Sus scrofa: one gene and its partner. The protein of the gene in region 1 purifies or fractionates together with the protein of each later gene. This does not show direct contact. Links are inferred from orthologs where the notes say so. Each region holds a gene or a part of one and is shown on either strand. Other genes may lie near its edges. The genes, in order: TBC1D15 and UBXN8.

What was found.
Region 2: the proteins of TBC1D15 (region 1) and UBXN8 purify together in Homo sapiens (affinity purification with mass spectrometry; 3 studies listed by BioGRID and IntAct, counting the BioPlex papers as one, with this or other methods). This does not show direct contact. The link is inferred for Sus scrofa from reciprocal best matches to the Homo sapiens genes TBC1D15 and UBXN8.

The regions. Positions count from the first base shown.
Region 1 is NC_010447.5:35,820,397-35,836,006, forward strand, and holds the start of TBC1D15 (TBC1 domain family member 15), read left to right. Parts: upstream 1-6,988; 5' UTR 6,989-7,089; coding exon 7,090-7,119; intron 7,120-12,378; exon of another isoform or gene 12,379-12,879; intron 12,880-15,610. UniProt on the Homo sapiens protein: Acts as a GTPase activating protein for RAB7A. Does not act on RAB4, RAB5 or RAB6.
Region 2 is NC_010457.5:54,359,157-54,374,509, reverse strand, and holds the start of UBXN8 (UBX domain-containing protein 8), read left to right. Parts: upstream 1-6,908; 5' UTR 6,909-6,913; coding exon of another isoform or gene 6,914-7,001; intron 7,002-8,598; coding exon of another isoform or gene 8,599-8,721; intron 8,722-12,421; 5' UTR 12,422-12,688; coding exon 12,689-12,898; intron 12,899-15,353. UniProt on the Homo sapiens protein: Involved in endoplasmic reticulum-associated degradation (ERAD) for misfolded lumenal proteins, possibly by tethering VCP to the endoplasmic reticulum membrane. May play a role in reproduction.

The DNA of each region.
Region 1 (15,610 bases):
GAAAATATATAACAATTAAAAATATCTAATATACATATAAACTTTGGAAAATTTCAAAAAAAAATGTACAGGGAGTTTCCATACACTTTCACCCAGTTTTTTTCCAATGATAACTTTTTTTTTTTGGCTTTTTAGGGCCTCACCTGTGGCATATGGAGGTTCCCAGGCTAGAGGGAGAATCAGAGTGACAGCTGCCAGCCTACACCACAGCCACAGCAACACAGGATCCGAGCTGTGTCTGCAACCTACACCACAGCTCTTGGCAATGCTGGATCCATACCCACTGAACGAGGCCAGGGATTGAAACTGCAACTTCATGGTTACTAGTCAGATTTGTTTTCGCTGCACCACAGTGGGAACTCCCCAGTGATAACATTTTATATAAATATAGTACAATATTAAAACCAGGAAATTGACTTTGGTACAACCCATAGAATTTACTCAGATTTCAGCGGTTTTACATGCACTTACATTTCATCCGTTGTACGTGTGTGAATAGTGAGTATAGTATTACCATTTTACCACGTGTGTTGATTCATATAACTATCACTATGATCAAGATACAGAGCTGTTCCATCACCAAGAAGTTTCCTTGTGCTATCCCTTTATAAAAGCCACTCCTCCTCCTTTTTCCTTCCTCCCCAATCCCTGACCCCTGGAAATACGAGTCTGTTCTCCATGTCCATAATTTTGCTATTTCAAAAATACTATAAAATTGGAATCATGTACCATGTAACCATTTGTGATATTTTCCCCACTCAGCATAATTTTCTTGATCCATTCAAGCTGCTGCCTGTATCATGAGCTCATTCCTTTTTATTGCTGTGCTGTATCTCATGGTATGGATATGCCATAGTTTGTTTAATCATTTATCTGTTGGAGTTCCCGTCATGGCGCGGCAGAAACAAATCCAACTAGGAACTGTGAAGTTTCGGGTTCAATCCCTGTCCTCGCTCAGTGGGTTAAGGATCCCATGTTGCCGTGAGCTGTGGTGTAGGTCGCAGACGTGGCTCGGATCTGGCCTTGCTGTGGCTCTGGCGTAGGCCTGCGGCTACAGCTCTGATTAAACTCCTAGCCTGGGAACCTCCATATGCTGTGAGTGTAGCTCCGAAAAGACAAAAAGACAAAAAAAAAAAAAAAAATCATTTATCTCTTAAAGGACATGGGGTGTTTCCAGCTTTTACTATTAAAAATAAACATTAATGTACAGGTTTGGGTATGTACATAGTTTATATTTCCTTAGGATAAATGCCCAAGTGTACATATACTTGGTCATGTGGTAAGCGTATGTTTAGTGTTATAAGAAACTGCCAAACTATTTTCCAGAGTGGCTGTACCATTTTATATTCCCACCAGCAATGTGTTAGTGATCTAGCTTCTCCACATTCTTACAAGGATTTGGTGTTACAGTTATTTTTAATTTTAGTCATTCTATTAAGTATGTAGTGATATTTCATTGTAGCTTTAGTCTGCATTTCCCTAATGATTAATGAAGTTGAACATTTTTAGATGCTTATTTTTTGCCACCTTTATATCCTCTTTAGTGAAATGTCTGTTTATATCCGTGATAGGAAGAACATGGCCTTCCAAAGATATTGTGCCAAATCCCCAGAACTTCAAGAACATGTTACTTTACACAGCAACGATTGTTTGCTGATATGATTAAAGGTATAGACCTTGAGATGGGGAGACTGTCAAGAATTATCCAGATGGGCTTCATCTAATTTCATGAGTCCTTAAGAGGAGAACCTTTCAGAGGGAGATGTGACTAAGGAAGAAAGATCAGAGATGCAGAGATTACACAGAGGTAGAATGTTGCTAGTTCTGAAGATGGAGAGAGAAGTCCAGGAGCCAAGAAATGCCCATGACATCTAGAAGCTGGAAAGGCAAGAAAACAGATTTTCCTCTAAGAGCCTCCAGAAAGGGCTGTGGTCAGCCCTGCTGACTCCTTCATCTTAGGCCAATGAGACCTGTGATGTCTAACTGTAAGAAAAAGTACGTTTTTTCAGCAACTAAGTTTGTGGTAATTTGCTACAACAGCAATAGAAAAATAGGAGTTCCAGTTGTGGCATAGCAGGTTAAGAACCAATATAGTGTCCATAAGGATGTGGGTTCCATCCCTGACCTTGCTCAGTGGGTTAAAAATCTGGTGTTGCCGCAAACTGCAGCATAGGTCGAAGGTGTGGCTTAGATCCCAGTGTTGCCATGGCTGTGGCGTAAGCCAGCAGCTGCAACTCCCATTTGATCTCTGGCCTGGGAACTTTCATATGCTGCAGGTGTGGCCATAAAAAGAAAAAAAGGAAGGAAGGAAAAAAAGGAAGGAAATGCAATCTCTTTTGCCCATTTTCTAATTGGATTATTTTTTCTTTAATGTTGAGTTTTGGGAGTTCTCCATATACTCTAGGTATTTGTCCTTTAGGATACACGTTTGCAAATATTTTACCCTGATTTGCAGCTTGTTTTTTTCAGCCTTTACAAGGTGTTTTTTTTTTTTTTTAACCATTTAAGAATTTTAATACAGAACGATAACACAGCTTAGAAAAATACAATAATGGGCTCATCAAAAGGAAGAATAGACTCTGCATGTGTCTGTTTACAGTCCTCTGACTCCAGACATTCTCACCTGGAAAATTCAACATCTGGTGGTCTGCCCTGGAGAGGCTGTGTCCTCAGCACCCCCTACCTCATGGAGGAGAGCCCCTCTCCCCTGCTTATGCAGGGTCATCTGCTTAAGTCAGGCCACAGCCATAATCATTCATTCCAGAAGGGACTGTGATTCACATCTGAGCTTGGTGTTAGTTTAATTTAAAGGGGAGAAGAAAACAAAATATAATGCTTAGATGCTGACAGTTTCTTCAGACCTCTATCTGCATTCATTTTGCTTTCAGAGCATTTGATTTGTTTTTTCTTTTTCTCTTAATGAATTTTATTACATTTATAGTTGTACAACAATCATCACAACCAAAATTTATAGCATTTCCATCCCAAATCCTTTACAAAGAGAGCAAATTTTAAAAATTTTGATGAAGTCCAGTTTATTGATTTTTTCTTTATGGATTGTGATTTTGATGTCAAGTCTAAGAACTCTTCTTAATCCTAGATCCTGAATTTTCTCTCTTGTTTTTCTAATTATTTAAAAAACTGTGGTAAAAATACGTAACATAATATTGGTCATTTCGGCCATTTTAAAATGTACAATTTAGTGGCCTTAAGTGCATTTACATTTTGTGTAGCCATCACTACCATTCATCTCACCATCCCAAACTGAAACTCCACACCAATTAAACAATGACTCCTATTTTCCCTCACCAGCCTCCAACCCCTAGACCACTAGTCTACCTTCTTATGCTTTGACTATTCTTGGTACCTCATGTAAGTAGAGTCATACACTGTTTGCCATTTCGTGGCTGGCTCATTTCACTTAGCATAATGCTTTTTTAGGGCTTATCCATGTTGTAGTATTTAATTTAATTTCTAAGACTGAATGGTATTCCATTGCATGTACATACGATATTCTATTTATCCATTTACCTGCTGATGGCTTTGGGGGTTGTTTCAAATTTTGGCTATTGTGAATAATGCTTGTAGACAATACACTGGTATACAAATACCTGTCTCTAAAATCCAGAAGTGAAATTGCTGGATTTTATGGCAATTCTGCGTGCTTTTTTGAGGAACTGCCATACTGTTTTCCACAGTGGCTGCATCATTTTATATTCCTAACAGAAATGCCCTCAAGATTCTCTTTTGTATTGTACCCCCGTGTTTGTTTCCTGTTTTTTTAGATTCCATATGTTGCTCTCCTGTAATTAACAGCTTTCTTATCCTGCCACACAGCCTCCACTTGCTTCCTAAGAAAGGGTGTGTAAGAGATACAATTTTTTTGAACTTGAGTATCTGAAAATGTATTGTTTTGATCTTACACTCGATTATTTGATTGAGTATAACATTCTAGGTTAAAAATATTTTCAATGTTTATACTCCATTGCCCTAGAGCATCCAGTGCTTTCACTGGCAAGTTCAAAGATATATTTATTCTTTACCCTTTCATGTAACATATTTTTTTTTTCCTTTTGCTCTGTGCAAGTTTTTACAATCTTTTGATTCCTATTGTTCTGAAATGTCACAATTATGTCCCTTGCTGTTGGTCTTTCTCTTCCATTATGCTTGGCACTTGGTAGGCTGATTTGGTTTGAAAATGCACATCTGACATTTCTGGGAAAAATTGTGAATTATTTATTTAGTAATTTCCTCTCCCCATATTCTCTGCTTTCTCTCCTTTATTTGGATTTAGATATCCTGTTGTAATCTACTAATTGTCTTAACTTTTCTCTCTTATTTCCATAGCTTTGTCCTTTTGTTTTACTTTCTGGAACATTTCCTTAGTTTATCTTTCAATCCATTTCTGGATTTTTTTCATTTATGTTATATTTTTAATTTATAGGAGCTCATTTTGGTTCCCTAAATAGCTCTCTTACATGGCCTTTTATTCCTGTTTCATAGATGTAAAGTCTTCTCTCATCTCTTTAAAGGTAATTAAAACTTTTTTTTTTGTTCTCTGCATTGTTTGTCTTAAATTGCTTATTTGCTGGTTTGTTCATTTTGGTCTCTGCCTTTCAGGTTAAAGGTTTTCTTCAAATGTGAAGTGATCCATGATTATGTTCATATTTAAGAGACTGGAACTAAAAGCTGATTGGAAGTTTTAGATATATGAGGGGGTTGCTGCTTTTTATTGTTTGCGGTAGAATGATATGGTTGGGTCTTTTTCAATGGTGTCCCAACTATCAGTACTTACAGGTCTTATTTCTTCAGCTGGTTAATTTATCCCATGAGAACTCCTGCAATCTCTTGGTTGTCAGCTATGTTTTCTTCATGGCACTGCCTTGCACAGTTACGCATTAAAAGTTTTTAGTCTGACTTTTATAAGAGTTTAGGCAAGGTAAGTATCAATGAGTGGTGGCAAAATTGGGAGAATCTTAATAAATGATGTGTGACATGGGATAAGCCCTGAAACACTGAGAGGTCAGTCAGAAACTGAAGTGAGAGAGAATCAAACTGAACAGGTAATTAAATGCTGTAGTTTAACGAGAGAAGTGATCACTTTCAGATGACTGTACAGGTAGCACAGCTGACTAAGGCACATATCTCTAATGAGGTCTCTATTCAGCCATAAAGCAGCTTATGACTGTAGCATATCCCTAAAAGAATTTTTCTGTCACCGAAGCCCCACCTAGATCCAAAGTTTCTTTAAAGGACTTCTTATGATTCTTTTCCACCTTATGACTTTTTTTTTTTTTTTTTTTTTCTTTTCAGAGCCACACCTGTGGCGTATGGAAGTTCCCAGACTAGGGGTCAAATGGGAGCTGCAGCTGCAGGCCTATACCACAGACACCACAGACACAGACACAGCAGCGCAGGATCCCAGCTACATCTGCGACCTATGCCGCAGCTTGTGGCAATTTTTTCTCTAACCACACCCTATTACTCTGAGCTGGTGGGAAATTTAATCTGGGTCATTATTAGGGCTCTACACACCACGCCTAGAATTGCGTGAAGGTTCTAGGGGATCTTACCTAGTCCTGTGTATGCAGGGAAGGCCCTCAAGTCTTCACTCAATGTTAGTTACTGCTAATATACTAATTTCCCCAGCTCATTTATCCTTTGCAGGTGAGCTGCTTTACCAGTTGAATACCAAGCTTGGGCATGGGGGCTTGGCTGTCGTTAGAATCTCTGATGCAGCCTCCCTAATAGGACTACACATCCATTTCCATCAAAGATCTTGCCACCTCCTTCTCCCATCAGGTTCCCAAGATTCACAGAACCAGCAAACCTCCTCTTCTGCTATTTCCTTAGGTTGCCACTTAACGAACCTCAAAAGCCTCTATACTCATGCCGCCCTGTGAAAAGAGAAGTACCTCAAAGGACACGGTGTTTTGCTACAAAGGGACCTTTTATTACTCCCTGAGGCAAAGGAAGCCCCAGAGCTTCTGTCAGAGCCATCATGGGTAGTATCCAATAATTTCCTGACATTCTTTTACTGCCCTGAGAACAAAAATAAATTATCTTACTATCTCAACAAATCAATTTACCACATATACATCGTCCCAAGAAATCTTTACAACCACTCCATGGGTAATTCTCGCTCTAATTCCTGAAGCTTGGATGAATTTATAAACTTGTTGCAAGTCACACAGCTATTAAGCAATCGTGTAGGAGCCATGAGCTATATGTGTTGGACTCTGGGACAACGAGGGCATGGTATTATCGCAGTTCCTATCAAAATACCTTGCCCATGGTTGTGCGTGAGTGGCAGTTATCAGACTCAACTTCAGAAACTTCACACAGAGGCGAAAAATTCCTGCGTGTGTGCGTCGGAGACCTGGCTGGGGTCCCTTTAATCTCCACCACAGCCCTATCTCAAGTTTACAGATGAGCTGCCAGAGACTGAAGGTAGAAGTGAAAAGCCAGGAGTTCCCGTCGTGGCTCAGCGATTAACGAATCCGACTAGGAACCATGAGGTTTCCGGTTCAATTCCTGGCCTTGCTCAGTGGGTTAAGGATCCTGCACTGCTGTGAGCTGTGGTGTAGGTTGCAGACGCGGCTCGGATCCCGCATTGCTGTGGTTCTGGCGTAGGCCGGTCCAATTCGACCCCTAGCCTGGGAACCTCCATATGCCACGGGAGCAGCCCTAGAAAAGGCAAAAAAAAAAAAAAAAAAAGACAGAAGTGAAAAGTGTCCACAAAGACCAAATTTCCTGAATCCGAATAGTCTGTACTTTCTTCATACCAACGGCTCAGAGCCTTGCCCCCAAGCAAACCCCAAAGCAAAAATACTTCAACTTACGTTCCCCGCTCGGAAAATAAATTGGCACATGCGCAGTATACACCAGAGACTCCACCCGAAGCCTCCGAGCCCTACTCTGTACGCTCGCCTCGGGTCTCTCCTCCCACCCCGCCCCTTCACTCACCGCAGTTCCCGCCACTCCCCGCCCCTTTCCCGCCCGGATATCAGCCTAGTTTTGCCGGATGTTGTTGTGAGTCTGAGAGACACGTGAGGCGCTGCTACGTCATCACAGACACGCGCAGGAAACATGGCGGCGGCGGGTGTTGTGAGCGGGAAGGTAAGTAACGGCCCCGGGGAACAGTCGTGTTTTTCTCCCGGATGGGGCCGTATTGCTGCTTGGAGGCTGGCGGGGAGGGTCGCGAGGGCTTCTCTGTATCAGATCAGACTGTGGAGGATGTAGAAGAGGGCTAGGTGGTGTCAGATGTTTTCTCCAGAGTACTCGCTCAGCCCGGGAATTAGAGACCCAGCTCCTGCTCCAAGGCCAGCTAGGCCTTGGCGCTGTTCATGTCTGTTCTGCCCAAGGATGAGGGGGCTTTTATTTGTAGTACTTTTCCTAAGGGACGGGTGGTTGTCCTCTTACTTTTTCGTTTTTTTCGACTGTCTCGGTTTTTTCCTGATTGGTTCCTTATGTGTCTACTCCAGCGTTTTTTCTCTCTTCCTTTGAGGCTTTACTCAGACTTGCCTCTGTCTTCCTCTGCCTTACTCTGGTGAAGGCATCTTTGTCCCCTTCAGGAAGAGCTGAAAATAGGTGCTTTGCAGCTGTGCACTTAGGAGACTGTATTGGATCCATTTTACCGGATTGCGGAGTTGGTTGGTCGTTGTGAGCAGCAGCACACATTTCCACGTTCAGGGAGCTGTAGATTTACACCATCCCACGCTTGTCTTTGGAAGGCATTAGTTAAGATATTTCTTTCCTAGATATCTCTGTGATGCTTCCGTGGGAGGATTTGTGGTGCGGTTTTATGGAGGTGGTCTTTGACCTCCAGGTAGTTTGTTTGGAATTAGGATTAGGTGCGGAGGATATTTTATCGCACAGTGCCTGTCATGTTCCGAGGGCACATCTTAATTCCTGCTAGTTAGCACTATCAGGGCATGCCACTGACAGCATTTCCCATTGCGGGAGTAATTTGTAAACAGTTGAATCGGGTAATGACTCATCTAACACTAATAGCTTCCTCTGTTCCTTGAGTTGCACTCATTTTCTTTATTTTTGCCCTCTCCTCATCCCATTTTGAATTATTTGACAGCATGTGTAGTTTAGTGTCTGGACTGCTAGACTAGGCGGCAGAATAACACATCACAGTTACTCTTAAGTGTGACCTTGGGAAATTGAGCAAGCATGACTTCTCTGTCCTTCATATTCTTTGTCTCCAGAATGGATGTCATGCCAGTCATTATTTCTTGTATTGGAGTTGTTAGGATTATATGAAATAATAAAAGCATTAACATGAAGATTACATATTTCTACATACTGAGTGTTTTAAATGATGGGCTGGTCATCGTTTTGAGATCTTTGGTTGTCTTGTCAGTTTTACTCTTCAGGATGGATGCTGATCTTCTTGGCTCACTGCATATTTCGAGGTTATACTGTTTGATTTTCTGTCTGGACTGAGCCAATCTAGGACTTTCCAAGGAGGGATCCTTTCTGTTTGAACTACACTTCTCTTTTTCAGGTGTGGATTGATTTTTTTTTTTTTTTTTTTTTTTGGTCCCACCCACAGCATGTGGAAGTTCCTGGGCCAGGGATCATACCCGAGTTGCTGCTTCAGTGACAGTGCAGGATCCTTAACCTGCTGCATGGTGTGAATTGATTTTGATAGGTCTCTTGAGATGATGAAGTAGAATTGTGAAATATAAGACTTTTTTCACCCTTTGCTTCCATCCACTGCCTTTCATGATCTGACTTCTTAGTCTTTTATTTCTTAACTCTACTTCATCACCTCATCTATTCTCATTGCAAATTTACACCCATTCCCATCACTCCACCTAAACTATTTTTCTATTACCCAAAGCTGCTCCTCTTCCAAGTAGTTCTATGATAACCAGCGAAACCAACTTATTCTTCCCTCAGCAAGTTCAGATCTAGTTTAATGGCATCATCATTCACCTGGTTTCATGTAAAACAAACTTGAAGACGTACATTTCTATAACAATATCTAATCAATACCAAGTCCTGCCCGTTTTCCCTTAAAGAGGTTTCTTAAATTTGCTGCATCCTCTTCATTCTCAGTGCTTAGATCATGCAGGCAGACATTTAGTCTTGAGTCCTTGGCTGATTTTTCTCCTTGTCTATAGTCTCTTTGTCCACAGTCCCCTCTCTACACAACCACTGGAATTATTTTCTATTCACAAGTCTGATTGTCTCTTGCTTAAAAAAACAAAGCTTGGTTTTGTTATGTCACTATTAAAATAATACTTAAGGCAATAGTTAACACAGCATGAAAAGCCATGTTGCCTTTCTGGCTTTATCTTATGCTTCCCTATTTCCCAGTCTGGTTTTTTTTTTGGGAAAAGGGAATAGCAAAGAACACACACGTATTTATGAGAGGGAATGTGTATGTGTTTCTTTGTATTTATTTATCTCCCCTATTCCATTCCAAAGGTTCAGCTAAGACCTAGTGTAACTTAGCAACCTAGGGCGGTGAACGTTCACCAAGGCTCCCAAGAATCATATGTGGTACTTTAAAATATATATAGCCATATACAGTTCTGCTCTGTTGAATTAGAACCTCTTGCTGTTGAGATCTAAGATGTAGAGTAACTCTTCTACTAAGTCTACTTTGCTTGCTTCGAACTTTTAGTGTAGGAAGTGATGCAGGGAGGACGTTAATCTCTGTGCAGTGCAGAAGCAGTGCCAATGCCAGATCCTTAACCCACAGGAGAACTTCCTAGAACCATATGTTTTAATAGTCAACCAAATGAGGGGAATGAGTGACATTCTTACGTGATTTTTTTTTTCTTGGCTGTAATCTTTTTTCCCCCAGTTTTATTGAGAAATGATTGACATACATCACTGTGTAAGTTTAAGGTGTACAGCGTGATGGTTTGATTTATATATATTGTGAAATGATTACCACAATAGATTCAGTTAACATCAGTCTTCTTGTCATAGATCCTCTTGTGAATATTGAGGTGAGATATAGCGACACTGCCTGTAAAGGCTATCCTGCTTTAGGATAATTAATGGAATGATTAATCACAGAGAAGGCAGAAGAAAAGGGATAGTCTGAAATAGGTTTCACCCTTACACCCAGTATCTCTGATGGTTGCAGCGTACTTTTATTCATTTATTCAACAAATATTTATTAAGCACCTGCTTTCTTCCAGGTACTGTTTTAGGCATTGGGGATGCATCATATAGCCCCTTACCTTGGAAATTACAGACTTTAGTTCTTCAGAAGGAACACACTCACTAAAACCTACTCCTTTACCTTGTTGAAATAAGAAAGTTTCAAGTCCTTGCAGTGGTGCGATTTTTATTTACTTATTTTTTTTACTTTATTTATTTTTAATTTTTAATTTCTGGTGCTATTTTTATTTATTTCTTTTTCTGGAATTTAAGTATTTTATTGTACTTGGCATTTCTACACATAATGATGTGGATTCAGAGACTGAAAGCATTAAAGGTATATAATTAAAATTCATGGGCTTAGACATAAACATAATTTTTAATATTTAGACTTGTCTAACAGATATTCCAGAAAAATAAATTGGAATATAAATACAATGTAAAATCTCCTTTGGATTTCTCCTCTGCCTAAGCAGCATTATATAACATAGACAGTTAATTCCAAAACACTTGTATGTACTTGATAGCCTCAGGAAGATATAATGAAAAAAATCTAAATAAATGAGGCTAAGAGAACTATGGTACTATGCATAAGGAACAAAAACTTATGAATTTCTCTATTCCTAAGGATTTCTAAAACCTACCTTCCCAATTTCAAGGGCAAATTTACTCAAGAGAAAGATAAACATGTCAGCTACACAACATTCATAGCTTTATTGATAGGGTATAGCCATTATGCCAGAATCCAGCCATCGATATATGTCATTTCCCATCTAAAATTATATTTATTTATTTATTTATTTTTGTCTTTTTGCCATGTCTTGGGCTGCTCCCCAGGCATATGGAGATTCCCAGGCTAGGGGTCGAATCGGAGCTGTAGCCGCCGGCCTACGCCACAGCCACAGCAACGCGGGATGCGAGCCGTGTCTGCAACCTACACCATAGGTCACGGCAACACTGGGGATCCTTAACCCGCTGAGCAAGGCCAGGGATCAAACAGGCAACCTCATGGTTCCTAGTCAAATTCATTAACCACTGAGCCACGATGGGAACTCCTAAAATTATATTTAACTTTAAATGGAATTTAGTGGCAAAGTGCCAAGAATTCAAGAATAACCTTAAAGTCTTAATTTTATATTTCAAATATATTAATTTTATACTTTAAATATATAAAAAAATAATTCCCTAAATAAAAGCATAACAAAATAACTACACAGAAAAATGAACATTAAAGTCGCCTCACTCTTTATTATGTAGTGAAAAACAAATGTATTTATAACTTCAGCATAGTCCATAAAATCGTTATTCATCAAAAATAGACAGATATTTACAAAGAACATTTAACTTAGATGTTGTAGTTTCTCATAAAATGGCACTTGAAAGATAGACCTATATAAGGAAATAAGAGTCTTGCCAAGAGAGATGGTAAACTGTACATATAAAATATACCACTATGTTGGGAGTTCCAGTCATGGCTCATTGGAAAAGAATCAGACTAGGAACCATGAGGTTGCAAGTTCAATCCCTGCCCTTGCTCCAGTGGGCTAAGGGTCTGGCATTGCCGTGAGCTATGGTGTAGGTCGCAGATGTAGCTCGGATCTGGCATTGCTGTGGCTGTGGTGTAGGCTGGCAGCTGTAGCTTGGATTAGAACCTCTATATGATGTGGGTATGGCCCTAAAAAGCAAAAAAAAAAAAAAAAAAAAAAAAAAATGTATATATATATATATATGTGTGTGTGTGTGTGTGTATATATGTGTATATATATGTGTATATATATATGTGTATGTATATATATATGTGTGTGTGTGTGTGTTTATATATGTATGTGTATACCACTATGTTAAAAACTTCATATTGTTCTTTAGGGTAGTCGATAAAGATAATCTTTTTTGGGGAGAGGTATTTAGTGTATTCATTCATTCATTCATTCATTCATTCATGCCACCCTGCAGTCTATGGAGTTCCCTGGCCAGGGATCAGATCTGAGCTGTAGTTGGGACGCACACTGCCGCCATGGCAACACCTGGACCCTTAACCCACTGTGCTTGGCCAGGGATCTAACCTGTGTCCTGGCACTGCAGAGTTGCTGCAGATCCTGTTGAGCCACAGGATTACAAATTTAAAATGCAAATTTTATATATGAATTCAGTATCTTTAAACCTTACATTGCCACTTAATCATCATCTGTTTTGTGGAAAACAATGAAAATGATGTACTTTTTGAATGTGTACATCAAAACCAAGAGGTTAATTTTTACTTTATCCTGTGTTGGCAACTTTGTATGCATTTTTAGGTTTTGGCTCCCAGAGGGCATTTTTTTACAAATCTTGAAGCCACACTTCTGTGCAGTTTGCCAGCCTTTTTCTTTTCTGTTATTTTCTCGACTCTGTTCATGTATACTCTCATCCTTCCAATTCCTGTTTACTGGATGTTCCTTATGATTAACTCCCTGAATTGCCACATAAACCCAAAACATTGAATTTAATAATGTATAAGCAGAAACTAATTACACTTTCCCTTATTCAAGAGGGCCCCACTTCTTCAACAACTCATTTCTAGAAACAGACATTATGGTCTTCAGCATCTTATCCACAACCCCAGTGGAATTCTCAGATGTTGATAAGTACTGGATAGTCTTCATTGATTTCTTCACCTGCCGTTATGACCAACTCCCAGGCCTTCCACTCCTGCCTCCAGGAAAATGGTGCTGTTAGTGAATATAGACTTGTAGATGGGCTAATCCTCATGAGAACAGGGCCTGAAATGTTTCTTCTGTATCTGGCATAGAGTCTGGCACATAGTAGGTCTTCAACAAAGAGGAAAGAGCAAGAAAGTATAAAAGGAGTTCCTGTAATGGCTCATCAGGTTAAGAACCTGATTAGTGTCCGTGAGAATACGAGTTTGATCTCTGGCCTCACTCAGTGGGTCAACGATCCGGCATTGCCACAAGGTGTGGCATAGGTCGAGGATGTGGCTTGGATCTGGTGTTGCTGTAGCTGTATTGTAGGCAGGTACCTGCAGCCCAGATTCAATCCCTAGCCTGGAAACCTCCATATGCTGTGGCTACAGCCCTAAAAAAACAGGAAAAAAAAAAAAAAAAAAAAAAGAAAGAAAGAAAAAAAATGGGGGGAGGTCTAGAGTGAGGAAGATGAGTTCTCTAATTGTGATGTTTTGGAGTTAAAAAGTCCTATTTTAGTATACTTGTATTTTATTGTAGTTACGTGTTTTTATTGTGATTGTGTTAGAATTTGGTTCTATTGAAAATAACTTGAAATAACTGGGGAATCCCTTGTTATTTTTTCTTTGAGGTTTTGTTTTGTGTTTTTTTGGATGGCCATGCCCATGGCATGTGAAAGATCCTGGGCCAGGGCTTGAATCTGTGTCACAGCAGTGACATGAGCTGCTACAATGATAACGTTGGATCCTTTACGCACTGAGCTGTAAGGGAACTCCTTTGAGTTTTTTCGAAGGCATTCTTAGTAAGAATTTATTTTGTAGCTTGAATTTGGCCCTTTCCAGTTTCCTTTAGATATGCTTATGGTTTCATGAAACCCTGTGCTTGAGGAAGATTAATATTCTTAGTGTGTAATAGTTTCTCCTGGAGAGTTTTCTCCCTCTGTCCCTCTGCCATGCCCATGGCTGTGGAAGTTCCTAGGTCAGGGATCAGTCTCGAGCCACAGCAATAACAAGGATGGGTTCTTAACCTGCTGAGCCACCTGGAAATTCCTGGAGAGTTTACTTAAACTAGATCTTATAACATGGTAGTAATCTTCCCCATGCCTCCCCCCGTGTAAGATACAGTGTATTGTCTTCTGTATTTTTCTGGCACTCTAACAAACATTTGAGTACTTGCTTTGTACTGAGTTCTTCTGAGTTCGTTCTTTCTTTCTTTCTTTCTTTCTTTCTTTCTTTCTTTCTTTCTTTCTTTCTTTCTTTCCTTCCTTCCTTCCTTCCTTCCTTCCTTCCTTCCTTCCTTCCTTCCTTCCTTCCTTCCTTCCTTTCTTCTCTCTCTCTCTTTCTCTCTTTTCTCTTTCTTTCTCTCTTTCTTTTCTTTCTTTCTTTCAACAGCCGCACCTGTGACATATGGAGATTCCCAGGCTAGGGGTTGTGGTTGAATGTGGCAATGCTGGATCCTTTAACTTACTTGAGTGAGGCCAGGGATTGAACTAGAATCCTCATGGATACTAGTTGGGTTCTTAACCCCCTGAGCTGCAATGGGAACTCTGAGTTCTTTACTCCTTTTAGGGCTGCACCCGTGGCATATGGAAGTTTCCAGGCTAGGGGTCTAATCAGAGCTGCAGCTGCCAGCCTACACCACAGCAATAGCAATGTGGGATCCGAGCCGCATCTGCAACCTCCACTGCAGCTCACGGCAATGCTGGATCCCTGGCCCACTGAGGGAGGCCAGGGATCGAACCCGCATCCTCGTGGATCCTACTTGGGTTCATTAACCGCTGAGCTACAGTGGGAACTCCTGAGTTCTTTTATTCTTGACCTAGCACAGTAGTTTGCAATTTTAACCAGTCATTTCAATTTGTGATTTAATAAAAACATGACTTTTGGGGGGAGATTTCAAATATTAAGTGTTTGCTTTGATGGGAAATAGCTTCTGAGACTAAATGAAAAATTGTAAACCAGCCTTTTAATTTTCACTTCTTGGTGGAGGGAAATCCGTATAAAATCCATTTACTGTTTCTTGTGTAATCTACAGTGTGTCTGTAGTTGATGTAGAAGAAGTCATTCATTTAATCCTTGTTGTACCTCCCCATACTGCCCTCTTGCCTGACATTGTTTTATATATGAATGCCTTTAAGAAGAAATAATAGTTCTGCTGCCTGGCCTTTATTGAGAATTGTACCATTCTCAGTATCTCAGAATTTCTGTGGTTTATTACCCTTAAAACCACCTATGTTCTACATTTCTTTGAATTCCTTAGTCTTTACTGATTAACTTGTCCCAAATAAAACTTATTGTTTACTCTCTTCCTTCTGTATTCTCTCTCTTAGTAAAATAACCTCATACACTCAGTTTTGTCCTACTCTCTGCACCTCCCATGCACATCCAATTAGTCATGGAGTCCTATCATTTTGACCTTTTAAATATCTTTCTAAGCCATCTGCCTTTCTTCATCTCACTGCCACTGCCTTGGTTCAAGCCACCATGAATCTTTTCCCTGGATTATTGCTGCTCTTCATTCTTGGCTCTGCAGCCAGGGTGTTGGCTTAGAATAGGCAAGACTGACATGGCATTCCCTTGCAAGAAATTTCTAATGGCTTTCCAGTGGCAAGAATTGTCTTCAGGGTAAATTCCAAATTCCCAAATTCCTGAGCATGGCTTAAAAACCCTTTATGGGAGTTCCTTTCATGGCTCAACGAACCTGACTAGGAAGCATGAGGATGTGGGTTTGATTCCTGGCCTTGCTCAGTGGGTTAAGGACCCGGAGTTGCCATGAGCTGTGGTGTAGGTTGCAGACGTGGC
Region 2 (15,353 bases), on another chromosome or scaffold:
CAACCCAAAGAAATGAAAACTTAAGGTCCTACAAGAACTTATAAACAAATGTTTACAGCATCTTTATTCATAATAGCGAAATCTGGAAGCAACCTAGATGTCCTTCAAAGAGAGTGGTTAATCAAACTATGGTGCATTCATACCGAGGGATCCTATCTAGCAATAAAAAGAATACATAACGATACACATAACTCGTTTGGATCTCAAGGGGATTGTATGGAGTAAAAAAAAGTCTCAAAAGCCAGTCTTAATAATTTTAATACACCCCAGGAGTTCCCCTTATGGCTCAGTGGTAATGAACCAGACTAGTAGCCATGAGGATTCGGGTTTGATCCCTTGCCCTGTTCAGTGGGTTAAGGATCCGGCATTGCTGTGATCCGTGGTGTAGGTCACAGACGTGGCTCAGATCCTGAGTTGCTGTGGTGTAGGCTGGCAGTTGCAGCTCTGATTCAACCTTAGCCTGGGAACTTCCATATGCAGAGGATGTGGCCCTAAAAAGACACACACACACACACAAAATGTTTAGTAAATCTCAGATTATCTTTTAACAGTGCTTATATTGGAACTCAAGGAATGGTACAGTTACAATGCATGCATTTCACTGTAGGTAATGAATGCTGTATGATTCCTCTTACGTAACATTCTTGAAATGACAAACTTAGATGGAGAACAGATTAGTGGTTACCTAGGGTTTGGTGGTGGTGAAGGATAGAAAATGAGGTGACTATGGATGTAAAAGGGTAGCATGGGCGATTCTTGTGATGGAATGATTCTGTACCTTGATTGGGGTGGTCACATGAATCAACACAGGTGATAATATTGAGTACAACTAAATACACACACACACACTGTGAGTATATGTAAAACTGGTAAAATCCAGTCTGTTTCAATATAAATTTCTTATTTATGATAACATACTATAGTTATGCATGAATTTGCCACTGGGGGAAACTGAGGATGCACATGATCTCTCTGTATTATTTCCCGTAACTCTATATGAACCTATAATTACCTCAAAATAAAAAGTTTAAAAAATTACAATGTGGACTTCCCACTGTGGATCAGCAGGTTAAAAGCACAACATGGTGTCCGTGAGGATGCAGGCTTGATACCTGGCCTCACTCAGTAGGTTATGGGTATGGCATCACCTCAAGCTTCAGTGTAGTTCGCAGATGTGACTTGGATCTGATGTTGCCATGGCTGTGATGTGGGCCTCAGCTACAGCCCTGGTTTAACCCCCAGCCTCGAATTTCCATGTGCCTCAGGTATGGCTGTGAAAAAAAAAAACAATTATGATGTGTATACAAAGCCTAATCCAAGAGTATTTTTTTTTTTTTTTTTTTTTTTTTGGCACTGCCTAAGGTATGCAGAAGTTCCTGGGCCAGGGATCAAACCCATACCACAGCAGTAAACTGAGCTACAGCGGTGACAGCACCAGATCCAGGGAACTCCCAAACAGTACATTTGGCATAATTCTATTTATAGAAGTCCTAGAGGAGGCAAAATAATCTATTATGGGGGAAAAAATCAGAACAGTGGTTACTTTCTGGGCAAAATTTTGTATCTTGTTAGGGTTGCATTGGTAAATGCTGTAAGGAGACAAGAGGTTCAAAATGGAGTTGCTTATGGTAAGCCACATCACCAAATGGAGAATTTGGCTCTCCCAGAAATTGAGTCACCTGACCAGCACTAGTTAGCTAATCTGCTTGTTGGATCCCTGCCATCACTACAGGAAAGTAACCTTGTAATTACCAACCCACTTTTTTGCCTAGAATAACTTCCTTGTTTCTGTTCCCTTCTGGGTAGAAAAGTCTTTCTTTATGTACAGATCCTCAGAGCTCCTTTTTTTCCTTTGTCTTTTTTTTTTAGGGCCATACCTGAGGCACTTGGAGGTGCCCAGGCTAGGGGCTCAATTGAAGCTGCAGCCGCTGGCCTACACCAGAGCCACAGCAACACAGGATCCAAGCTGTGTCTACGACCCACACCACAGCTCACAGCAATGCGGGATCCTCAACCAACTGAGCGAGGCCAGGGATCAAACCTCGTCCTCATAGATGCTATTTGGGTTTGTTAATTGCTGAGCCATGACAGGAATTCCTCAGAGCTCCTTTTTATCCACTACATTGGATGCTGCCTGATTTGAATCACTTTTTGCTCAAATAAACTCCAAATTTTTTAGCATTCCTCAGTTGATATTTTAAAAGTGCTAGTATTAGGAGTTCTCGTAGTGGCTCAGCAGTAACGAACCCAACTATTAGCCATGGGGAATCGGGTTCAATCCCTGGCCTTGCTCAGTGGGTTAAGGACCAGCATTGCCCTGAGCTGTGTATGGTCACAGGTGTGGCTCAGATCCCAAATTGCTGTGGCTGTGGTGTAGGCTGGCATCTACAGCTCCAATTCAACTTCTAGCCTGGGAACTTCCATAGGCCTTGGGTGCGGTCCTAAAAAGACAAAAAAAAAAAAGTGCTTGTATTGGAACTTAAGGGATGGTAGAGTTAAGATGTGTGCATTTCAGGGAGCCCTGGTGGCTCAGGGGTTAAGGATCTGATGTTGTTACTGCTGTGGCATGGGTTCAATCCCTAGCCCAGGAATTTCCACATGCTGCATGCACAGCCAAAAAAAAAAAAAAAAAGATATGTGTATTTCATTGTAGTTAATGATATGCATGCTGAAGTATATATATCATATAAAGTATGCATATGCATATGATATCATTAATGATATGCACATTGAAGTATTTTGGGGGAAGTATACTAAAGTCTCTAACTTTGAAATTCATCAAGGAGCTCCCATTGTGACTCAGTGGATTAAGGATGTGACGTAGTCTCCTTAAGAATGTGGGTTCAAGCCCTGGCCTTACTCAGTGGATTAAGGATCTGGCGTTGCCACAAACTGCAGAGTAAGTCATAGATTTGGTGTGGATCTGTTGTTGCTGTGGCTGTGGCATAGGTCTCAGTTGCAGCTCTGAATTGACCCCTAGCCTGGAACTTCCATATGCTGCAACTGTGGCCATAAAAAGAAAAAAAAAAGTTACATGCATCAAAATAAGAAAAGAGTAGAGTTCCTGCTGCGTAACAGTGGGTTGAGGATCTGACTTGTCTCTGAGGAGGTGCTGGTTCTATCCCTGGTCTGGCACAGTGGAGCAAGAATCTGGCCTTGCGGCAGCTGCAGTATAAATCAAAGCTGTGGCTTGAAGTTGAGCCCTGACCCAGGAACTTCCATATGCTGCAGGAGCAGAGAAAAAAGAAAAAAAATGTGGTGCTGAGTATATGGATAATTATTGTGAAGTTTTTTCATGTTTTTACCTTAAAATTTTCATAATTTGATATCAAAAAACTTAACTAAAAAAAATTTTTTTTTTTGGCTTCTCCTGTGGTATGTGGAAGTTCCTGGGCCAGGAATTGAACCTGAACCACAGGAGTGAACCAAGCCACAGCAATGATGCTAGACACTTAACCCAGTAGGCCACCAGGGAACTCCACTAGTTGATTTTTTTTTTAATGCAAAAATTCCAAATGGTAGGTTACAAAAGCACTTTGGATACACTTAATCAATTTCAGGCTACATTTTAATAAACATTTGTCACCTCCTAACCAAATATAAGTATATATAATTTTAAAATGTGTTGACAGTCCTACTTTTCCTATACATAAAGAAAACAGGAGTTCCCGTTGTGGCCCAGAGGAAATGAATCCGACTAGGAACAATGAGGTTGTGGGTTCAATCCCTGGCCTCGATCAGCGAGTTAAGGATCTGGCATTGCCGTGAGCTGTGGTGTAGGCCAGCAGCTGCAGCTCTCATTTGACCTTGACCTGGGAACCTCCATATGCCTCTGCTGTGGCCCTAAAAAGACAAAAAAAAAAAGAAAGGAGGAAAGAAAGAAAGAAAACAAGTAGCTCTACTTGTTAAATAAGAAAAATGTGAAATTTATGTCTTAAGAATGTTAATAAAGGAGTTCTCTTGTGGCACAGTGGGTTAAGGATCCAATTCTGTCATCGCAGCGGCTGGGCTCGGGGCTGTGGAGGCAGGTTCAATCCCGAGGCCAGGAAATTCCACATGCCATGGGCACAACCAAAAAAAAAGAAAGAAAGAAAAAAAACCAATATTTATAATAGAGTATGGCTTAATATAAACTATCAAGATTTAAAAATCCCTTCTTATTTAATACCTAAGGGTATTCCAAAAGACTTTATTGTGAGAACTGAGATGTATAGCCATAGCTTAATTATCATTAAAAACTATGACATGATGGAGTTCCCTTTTGGCATAGCAGGTTGAGGATCTGCAGCAGCTGGGGGTTGCTGCTATGGCATGTGGAAGTCCCTGGCCTGGGAACTTCCACATGCCACAGGTGCAGCCAAAAAAACAAAAACAAACAAAACTGCTTGATCTTACCTCAATCAACATGACTTTATTATTTGTTTTAGGGTATTCTTACCAACGAGGATAGGCTATAAATCAGTATGTTTCTTCATTGTTAGCTTTAGAAACTTCCTGAAAATCCATTTATCTGAACAACAGGTTGCTCATCCTCTCCAGGCACTGAGAAGTTGGATTGATCACACAACTGGGCAAATCACCTTATCAAAAAGGGACCACACCTGCCTTCAAGTCCCACCTCTTGCTGCATCCACCATCCCTAAACTATTATACCACACACTATGTCTAATCCCAACCAATGACATCCCCACATCGAAAAGGCCACCTAAAACTATTCCAGTGGAGACTCCAAAAAGCCTATAAAAATCACTCTTGACTTCCCCTCTGAGACACTACAAAGATTTTGTCACAAAAGTGTTCTCCTTTAATGCAGTAAGTGGAAATTTGATTTTGCTTTAATAGGTTATTCTAATGGTCTTGGGTGTCGGGTGGAGGTTAAAAGTAGACAATTACAGTGAAGAGACTTCATAATCAATAAAGTTTTGGGAAATGTTTATGGCCCTAAGCAAATCTAGAGTATGTGGGAGCCTCTACTTTACTGTCCTGATAGAGATTTATTGGTGCCATCAACAGATTCAATTAGGAATATAAAAAGAGGAAGAAAAATACCTAAAGGAGGAAATCATACCAAAATGAAGATGGTAACCGCTGTAGAACTCTTTCCTGTCTTCATGTGGACAGCAAATGAAAACGTTTTAATGAGTCAATGTAATTAATTGTTTAATTGGTATGTCACATAATTTATAGTACTTTACCCAGATCGATTTTGAGATTGTGCACTCATAGTCTGCACCTTGAATTCTAGGATAACGTTCTTAGCCTATATACCAAGCCAAGCTCCCTTGGTCCTGGCTCCAACCTACTTCTACACTCTTCCATTCAAAGTTGAAATTGCAATATTTTAACTGTTGGTAGTTCCTCTACATTCATAGTTTGTCAAACTTCAAATCTCTTGCCCTTTTCCCCAATTCCTAACCTTTACAAAATAATTTAGACACGATTTCCTTTGGGAAAGCCTTTCCCCAAGCCCTCACTTGGGTACATAGCTCCCTGTGTACCTCTCACAGCACACAAGCGCTGTATTTTTCTCTTTACAGGGCTGTCTTTCCCACGAACTGAGTTTCTCAAGGACAAAACTTACACATACTTGAGTCTCTATGAGTTCTACAGTGCCAGGCAAATTGTGGAGCTAAATAAATGTTAGCTGAACTAAACTGAAGGGTGAGGCAGAACTGATGGAAGGGTCACAAAACCAACTTTCAAAGCACGAAAACTTTTATTTTATTTTAGGGCTGCGTCCCAGGCATATGGAAGTTCCCACGCTAGGGGTCCAATTGGAGCTACAGCTGCTGGCCTACACCACAGCCACAGCAACGCAGGATCCCAGCCAGGTCTGCGACCTACACCAAAGCTCAAGGGAAGGCTGGATTCCTGACCCACTGAGTGAGGCCAGGGATCAGAACCAGATACTAGTCGGATTATGATGGCAACTCCCACGAAATCTTTTTTTTTTTGTCTTTTTGCTATTTCTTTGGGCCGCTTCTGCAGCATATGGAGGTTCCCAGGCTAGGGGTCTAATCGGAGCGGATCCGAGCCGCGTCTGCAACCTACACCACAGCTCAAGGCAACGCGGGATCGTTAACCCACTGAGCAAGGGCAGGGACCGAACCCGCAACTTCATGGTTCCTAGTCGGATTCGTTAACCACTGCGAAATCTCCCTCACGAAATCTTTTAAGAGATCTCTGTAGCTTACACGCATCGGGGTTGGCAGAAACGCCAAAGAGATGAGTCATAGGATGGCAATGAGGTCACAGAACTGGGAGGCCGTGTTAAGTCATTAACAGTAACACCTGCTAGCAAAACTGATAAGGAGCGGAGCAAGGGGTAGCGGGTCTCCATAATTAGGTGCCAGGCCTCACTTTTGAGTCATCTTCCCGTCGGAACCAGAGACCGAGGAAGGTGCCGGGGACCGTTTGGAAGATAAGGAAGGTTCTTCGGCAGAAAGTGGTGCTCAACAGCTCTGACTCAAAAGTCCACAATCACCCACTACAGACATAGGCCAAGGGCACAGGCTGCCTCCTTGTAGTATCAGCTGCCCCTATCCTTTCTCCTCTGTTTCATTTTACTCTTTAGAGTTCTTTCTTACAATCTCTACAGTCTGACAGCCGAAGGGGCAGGGGCTGCCCGCCTCGAAGGAGCCCAAGTTTTGCTTTCACAGGACTTGGCTGGGCGGGTGCCAGCGAGGCCGTCTCCCCTGGACCTCACGTGACGTCGGGAGGTGACCTACACTTGTTTTCAGGTTACAGATTATGAGTTCAAAAGCCTGGGTTTATCTCAGTCTCACCAACGAAACAGCTTTAGGGTCCAGCGCTTTCCTGGAATTCCTCCCTTAGAAAGGATCCACTCCACCTTCCAAGGGAGGCGTAATCAGAAGGGGCGGAGCTTCCGCCAGGAAGCAGCGCTTCCGCCGCTATGGTTTCTCTTGGGGTGGTTGGCATTTTCCTCCTCTCTGCTCTCCCCCTCTTGTGTCTGGAGCTCCGGCGTGGGGTCCCAGATCTAGGTAAGTGCTGGCTTTTGCCTCCTGGCGTTCACACCTGGTAACAGTCTCACGAACACTACGTGCAATTTCCCGGCCGCGTCTCCTCTGGGCGGCTTTGACTACGATGCCCAGGCTGCACCGCGCCTGCCTTCCTCTTCCCCCGCGGGGTTCCTGGTGGAGCGAGACTTTTGCCGTCCTGGGGAGGCAAACTCTTGGCGGAAAAGTGCCCCTCCAGATCTGGTGAAGTTTTGCGGGTAATGGGACAGAGGCCGAAAGCACAGGAGCAAGCATATACTTGACTTTCACATTGTGTTGAGTGCTCAAAAGGAAATAAACAAGCTGATGTAGGCCTTCTGAAGAATTTAAGAGACTTAAATGATAAGGAGCCACACGTTTGAAAAGCGAGGGCGGGAGGTGGAGGGAGCGGGATGACATTCCAGACAAAAGGAATTGTGACTTGAAGGAAAAGGATGAAGACCTTTGAGGCTGGATTAAAGAGACTAGTAGAGAGAGTGGCGCATGATAATAGCATTCATTGAACGCTTATTGTAAACTAGACTCTTAAGTCGTGGTTATTATCTCCTCTAAATTGGTTTACAAACTTTGAGGATGCGCACTGCTCTAACCTATTTTACAGTGGAAACAGATATAGGGAGGTTAAGGGACTTCCCTAAGGTTTTAAAAAGTCTGGATTCTTTGTGGACAAGTGTTTTGCAAGGAAGGTATAGCGGAAGCAGTGAGGCAAATTAGGTTTCTGTTGTTCTTGGCAGATTTGACTATAGGGTGTCTCTCTTCTCTCTCCCCTTTTTTTTTTCTTTTTTTCCTTTCTGGGGCTACACCTGTGGCTTTAGTAAGTTCTTGGGCTAGGGGTCAAATCGAAGGTACAGCAACTGTTGGCATACCTCTACCTGGTGTCTTTTGAGAATTATAAAATAAAACTAAAAATTCCTAGAGGATAGAAACCATTTTTATTCCAACTTCTTATCCAGGATCCCTCATCATTAACAAATTGTATTACACACAGTAGGTACTTGTTACATTTTTTGCTGATTAATTTTCATCTTGGCTCTCAAAATCATACAAAACCAAGTACTGAATTTTCCCTTTTTTGGGCAGATATGTATATAGTAATTTTATTTACAAATGACAGAATAAACATTGAGAACTAGAGAAGTACACAGTTGCATAACTTAACTGTGAGAAATAAGAATTTGTGTTCAGTGGGAGTGACTGATTTTAAATAGAATTTGATAAGATGATACATACCATCATGATTTAGTTCCCAATTAATGTGGATAATTTTCTTTCCTTCTTGGGGCAGAAGGAAAACCAAGATTTCTGCATTATTGATAGTCATATATTTATAATGTAGCCATTCACTTATATTCCTGAAAGATGTTCTAGAATCATTTTTTGAAAACTTGTTCTGGTAATGACAGTCGTGATGAATTTTGGCACCACAGGAAAATTATATGAAATATTATAAGACAGTTGCATACCTTAACTTTTATTATTATATTGTTCTGGTACAAATAATCTGCTAATATATTAGTACTTATTATTAGTTCCAAGAAAAATTGTTTTAAATTTTAATTGTAATTTTTTTAACCTTGTTAAGGAATCAAAGATCTTATTTTGCTATGTGGCCGGATTTTCTTACTGCTTGCTCTTCTTACATTAATTATTTCGGTGGCTACCTCATGGATTAACTCGTTTAAATCTACCCAAGTTTATCTGAAAGGTAAGTTTATAGTTTATGCTACTCTTTTAGAGTTTTCTACTGAAATTTCTTTCCTTTATTTATTCTAGAACTTGGCAAAATGAGAACTATTTTACCATTACTTTTTGCTGTGTAATTTCAAGGATAGTAGTCATTACTTTAGTTACGATTTCAAATGGGCTATAAATTGCAATATTATGAGAAATTGTACATTTTTATTATATATACATTTGAAACTATCATTTCTAACTGATATTCTGCAAATTCTCTTGTTTGTTTTTGTTTTTGTTTTCTTTTTTTGGCCACCCCGAGGCACATGGAGTTCCTGGGCCAGGGATCAGGTCTAGGCCACAGTTGCAATCTATACTGCAGATGAGGCAATGCCAGATCCTTGAACCCACTATGCCGGCCAGGGATCAAACCCGAGACTTGGTGCTGCAGAGACACTGCTGACCCCATTGCACCACAGCAGGAACTCCAAATTCTCTAATTTTAAATTGCCTCTGTGTTAATGGAGCACTAACTGCTATTTGGTACTTAGAGCTTATAAACTATTCGACAGATGGTAAATGTATCTACTGTTAAGAGTTAAAGAAAATTTGGAGTACTTTTGTAGTGTAGTGGGTTAAGGATCAGGCCACTGCTGTGGTGCAGGTTTGATCCCTGGTCCAGGATCTTCCATATGCTGCTGGCACACCAGGAAAAAAAAAAGAGTTAAAGATAATTTATTTTTTATTACATTCTGGTAGTTTTTATTTTCACACTTAATATATAGTTAAGCATTCTTAATTTTAGGAAATCATGCTTGTTCTTATTTTCATTTTGTTTTTTGTAAGTAAAAGTTTGTGTTACAGACCTTTTAGAACAATATTGTAATTCACCTCAGGACAGATAAATCTTAAAAGTAATGACTACATTCTTATATCCTATTAGAAAGAAGGGAGTTCCTGTCGTGGCTCAGCGATTCACAAACCTGACTAGCATATGTGAGAACGCAGGTTTGACTCCTGGCCTCGCTCAGTGGGTTAAGGATCCAGCATTGCCATGAGCTGTGGTGTAGGTTGCAGATGTGGCTTGGATCCCCCCTTGCTGTGGCTGTGGCATAGGTCAGAGCTGTAGCTCTGATTCGACCCCTAGCCTGGGAACCTCCATATGCTGCAGGTGTGGCCCTAAAAAGACAAAAGACAAAAGACAAAAAAAAAAAAAAAGTTTGTCAGTAGTGAATTTGGTGCATTATGTTTTGTTTTACTGTTTATTTAAATGTAAATAAATGAAAGGAAAATCAGCAGTGTTTAATTTATAGCCCTTTCAAACTAACTGTGAATGAAAACATAATCCTAAAAGGTTACACTATTCAACCCAAACATAAATGACAGTGTGGATGTTTCAGGGTCTCCCAATCATAGATTTTTGGAAATTTTTTTCTTCTTTTAGTATATTATTTGATCTTTTATACTTCAAAGTACTCAGTTGGAAGATTTAAATGACTCGTTGTAACTTCTCTTAAAAACTTTGTATTAAGTGTATTTTGGTATGGGGAAGATATTTGCTGCATAGATTAGACTATGGGCAAATATTCTGTGTTTTATTTTGTTTTGTTTTTCTTTTTATGCCTGCATATGGAAGATCCCAGGCCAGGGGTTGAATTGGAGCTGCAACTGTGGCCACAGCCATGGCAACAGAGGAACTGAGCCATGTTTGCAACCTGTGCTGCTGTTTATGGCAATGCCAGATCCTTAACCAATTGAGCCAGGCCAGGGATCGAACCTGCATCCTTACAAAGATAATGTCGGGTCCTTGATTTGCTAACCACAACAAGAACTCCATTCTGTGTTTTACAAATAAGGGAAATATGCACTTGCCATAGTTTTCATACTTTAAGTTGTACCTTTATATTGAAGTGCAAGTCATTTCGGAAACATTTATGGTTTGATAATTTTGAGATGTAATCATCACTGAAGACAAAAACTGTCTAATAAGTAATTAAGACTGTACATAATGCCTAATTATTGTCAGATTTTCCACCGTCTCTGCGGCGTTGCCAGTTTGACCCCTGGCCCAACACAGTGGGTTAAAGATCCCGTGTTGCCACAGCTGTGGCGTGGGTCACAGCTGTGGCGCGGATGTGATCCCTGGCCTGGGAGGTTCCTTATGCCTTGAATGTGGCTGAAAAGGGGGGGGGGAGGAAGAAACAAACTCATAGAAAAAGATAAGATTTTTGATTACCAAAGGCAAGTGATGAGGGGAGGGGGGAATTGGATGAAAGTAGTCAAAAGATGCAAACTTAGGAAGTTCCCTTATGGTGCAGTGGGTTAAGGATCCGGTGTTGTCATTGCAGCGGCTTTGAGTAGTTGCTGTGGTGTGGGTTTGATCTCTGGCCTGGAAACTTCCACATGCCATGGGTGCAACCCCCCCAAAAACAAACTAAATTAGTAGTACTAATTTAGTACTTAATCCCTAGTGCTAATTAATTTAGTAATCAGTCCATAGTAGGGATATAAGGTACAATATGATAAATATTAGTGACACTGCTGTACATTATATATGAAAGTTGTTAAGAGAATAAATCCTAAGAATTTTCATCACAAGGAAAAAAATTGTTTTTATTTCTTTAATGTTGTGTCTATATGAGATCTTGGATCTTCACTAAACCTACTGTGGTAAACATTTCATGATGTATGTAAATCACATCGTTATGCTGTACACCTTCAACTTACACAGTGATGACTGTCAATTATATCATTAAAACTGAAAGAAAAAAATATGTATATATTCTTTGATTCAGATCACTAAGTTTGATCACCTAGCAAGTTAGAGGCCAGACTGGACCTTCTGATTTTCTTTGTGCTTTACTGCCCTAACTTTTCCTTAATAATCTTGTCTCTTTTTTTTTTTTTTTTTTTGCTATTTCTTTGGCGCTCCTGCGCATATGGAGGTTCCAGGCTAGGGTCAATCGGAGCTGTAGCTGCAGCCTACGCAGAGCCACAGCAACATGGATCGAGCCGCGTCTGCACCTACACCACAGCTCACGGCACCCGGATTATCACCCACTGAGCAAGGCAGGGACGAACCGCAACCTCATGGTTCCTAGTCGGATTCGTTAACCACTGCGCCACGACGGGAACTCCTTCCTTAATAATCTTGAGGAAATATCTGCTGCCAAGAAACAAGTAAAGCTGTTGACAGAAAGGAATGCTCCTATTCAAGGATTGAATTGATTGACTGATTTTTTTTTTTTTTTTGGTCTTTTGTCTTTTTAGGGCCGCACCCGCAGCATATGGAGGGTGCTAGGCTAGGGGTCTATTTAGAGCTGTTGTTGCTGGCCTACTCCAGAGCCACAGCAACGCCAGTTCTGAGCTGCGTCTTCGACCTATACCACAGCTCACAGCCATGCCCGATCCTTAACCTACTGAGCGAGGCCAGGGATCCAACCCCCAACCTCATGGTTCCTAGTCAGATTCATTTCTGCTGCACCAAGACAAGAACTCTTTAGGGATATATTTAAAAGATTCATAATTCTTTGGGAGAATACAATTAAATGAAATTAACTTAAATGAAATTTATTCTACCCCCGCCCTCCAAAAAGGTCTATACAATAGCAGAAATCCCTTCTCTTGACATTCAGTAGATTATAAACTAATATTGGTTCAGTTACTATAGGAGTTGCCAGCCACACCCTGTCTTTGGGATCTAGGCATGTTGCTTTTACTGTCATTTCCAGGGGTGACCAGTGGCTGCAGCATAGCATACCGCACCTCGTGTGAGAATGGGCTTCCATGCTTTATCTTGGAGCTGCTGAAATGCTGTAGGTGGCTGCAGGAAAAAAATCCACATCATTATTCTTGAAGCCTCCTCACCAAAGCTGTAACACAATATTACTACATGTCAGAGAATTTTCATCTCAGAACAGACCTTTTCTTTACAGATCTTGCTTGTGGATTTCTTTGTTTCAACTGTCTGTGTGTATTTCATTTTCATTATTTGAAAAATGCAGCATATTTTTTTTAAGGCTTGTTTCCCCCAAAATGTTAAGATCTACAGAGTACTTTCAGAGAAGATAGCATTCAACTTTACCAATACTGAGGAATTAAAAAAAAAAGCACTTTTATGTTTTGGTGTCTTAGAAGAAGAAGAAGAGAAGAATGAGAAAAAGCAAAAACTTGTGAGGAAAAAACAACAAGAGGCACAAGGTGAAAAGGTAAAGCTACTTTTGGGGGAATAGAGAATACAGACATTTCAAATTTAGGTCTGTTGGTTTATGTGTTTGTGTTCAGATTTTTATTGTTATTATTTTAATTTTTAAATTTTTGCATTGTAGAACTACACCTGTGGCATATGAAAGTTCCCAGGCTTGGGGTCCAGTTGGAGCTATAGCTGCTGGCCTATCCCACAGCCACAGCAACTTGAGATCCAAACTACATCTGCGACTTACACCACAGCTCACGGCAACACCGGATCCTTTCACCCACTGAGCAAGGCCAGGGATCGAACCTGCCTCCTCATGGATGCTAGTCAGATTCATTAACGACTGAGCCACAACGGGAACTCCCAGCTTTTTTATATCAACGAGGTCAAATTCACATGACATAAAATTAACCATCTTAAATTGTATGATTCAGAATATTCACAATCTTGTACAATCATTACCTCTGTCTAGTTCCAAAACATTTTCTTCACCCCAGAAGAAAACCCTGTACCCATTAAACAATTACTTCTCCTTTCCCCATTTCTTCCATCTCATCCTCTGCTTTCTGTTTGGATGGATCTATTCTGGATAATTCATATAAATGGAATCATACAACATGTGACATATTGTGTCTGGCTTCTTTCACTTGCATGATGTTTTCCAGGGTTCATTCATGTAGCATGTATCACTACTTCATTCCTTTTCATGGATGAATGATATTTCACTGTATCCATGGGTCATAATTTGTTTATCCTTTATTGATGGACATTTAGGTTATTTCCACCTTTTGGCTATTAATAGTGCTGCTCTGAATATTTGTGTGCAGATACTTGAGTACTGTTTTCAGTTCTTTTGGGTGTATACATAGAATGGAATTGCAAGGTAACATGTTAATTCTATGTATTAATTTTCTGAGGAATTGCCAAACTATTTTGCACATAAGCTATACCATTTTATATTCCCACCAGTAGTTTCTGAGGGTCTGAGTTTCTACTTCCTCAACAGCATTTATTTCCACGCTCCTCACCCCCCGCATACGCGTCGTAAAGCATATGAAATGGTATTACGTGGTTTTGACTTGCATTTCCCTAATGACTAATAATGTTGAACAAATTTTCATGTGCATGTTGGACATTTGTATATCTTCTCTGGAAAAATATCTAAGGTCTTTGCCCATTTTTAAATTGGGTTGTCTTCTTTTTGTTGAACTATAGGAGTTTTTTTATGTATTCTGGGTATTGAATTCTTATCAGATACCTGATTTGCAAGTATTTTCTCCTAGTCTTTGGATTGCTTTGTAGTCTTTTTATAATGGCCTTTGATGCACAGAAATTTTTAATTTTGATGGAAGTCTAGTTTTCATATCTTTTGTTACTCATGCTTTTGGTGTCATAATCTCAGAATCCATTGCCAAATCTAAATTCATGAAAATTTACCTCTATATTCCAATTGTTGTATAGTTTTAGCTTTTTTTTTTTTTTTTAAATCTTTTTCTGGGGCCACACCCGCGGCACATGGAGGTTCCCAGGCTAGGGGTCAAATTGGAGCTGTTGCTGCCGGCCTATGCCAGAGCCACAGCAACTCCAGATCCAAGCCTCCTCTGCAATCTACACAACAGCTCACGGCAACGCCGGATCCTTAACCTCCTGAGCGAGGCCAGGATCAAACCGGAAACCACATGGTTTGTAGTTGGATTCATTTCTGCTTCCGCCCTGATGGGAACTCCTTTAGTAAGTTTTGAAATCAGGAAGTATGCGTCCTCCTACTTTGTTCTTCTTTTTCAGTAGTTTTGTCTATGGGGACCCTTTCCAATTCTGTTTGAGTTTACGGATTGGCCTTTCATTTCTGCAAAAAAGGGCTTAGGGATTTTGTGAAGGATTGCACTGAAATCTGTAGATTGCTTTGAGTAGTATTTTTTTTTTTTTTTGTCTTTTTGTCCTTTTTTGTTGTTGTTGTTGTTATTGTTGCTATTTCTTGGGCCGCTCCCGCGGCATATGGAGGTTCCCAGGCTAGGGGTTGAATCGGAGCTGTAGCCACCGGCCTACGCCAGAGCCACAGCAACGCTGGATCCGAGCCGCGTCTGCAACCTACACCACAGCTCACGGCAACGCCGGATCGTTAACCCACTGAGCAAGGGCAGGGATCGAACCCGCAACCTCATGGTTCCTAGTCGGATTCGCCACTGCGCCACGACGGGAACTCCAGCTTTGAGTAGTATTGATATCTTATTTAGTAATTCTTCCAGTCTGTAAACACGCAGTGTCTTTCCATTTATTTATGTCTTTAATTTCTTTCAGCAGTGTTTTGTAGTTTTCAGTGTATATAACTTTCACTTTCTTGGCTAAATTTATTCCCAAGTATTTTATTCTTTTAGATGCTATTATAAATGGATTATTTTCTTAATTTTCTTTTTTGATTTTTTCATTACTAGAATATAGAAACACAAATGTTTTGGGTTTTTTTTTTT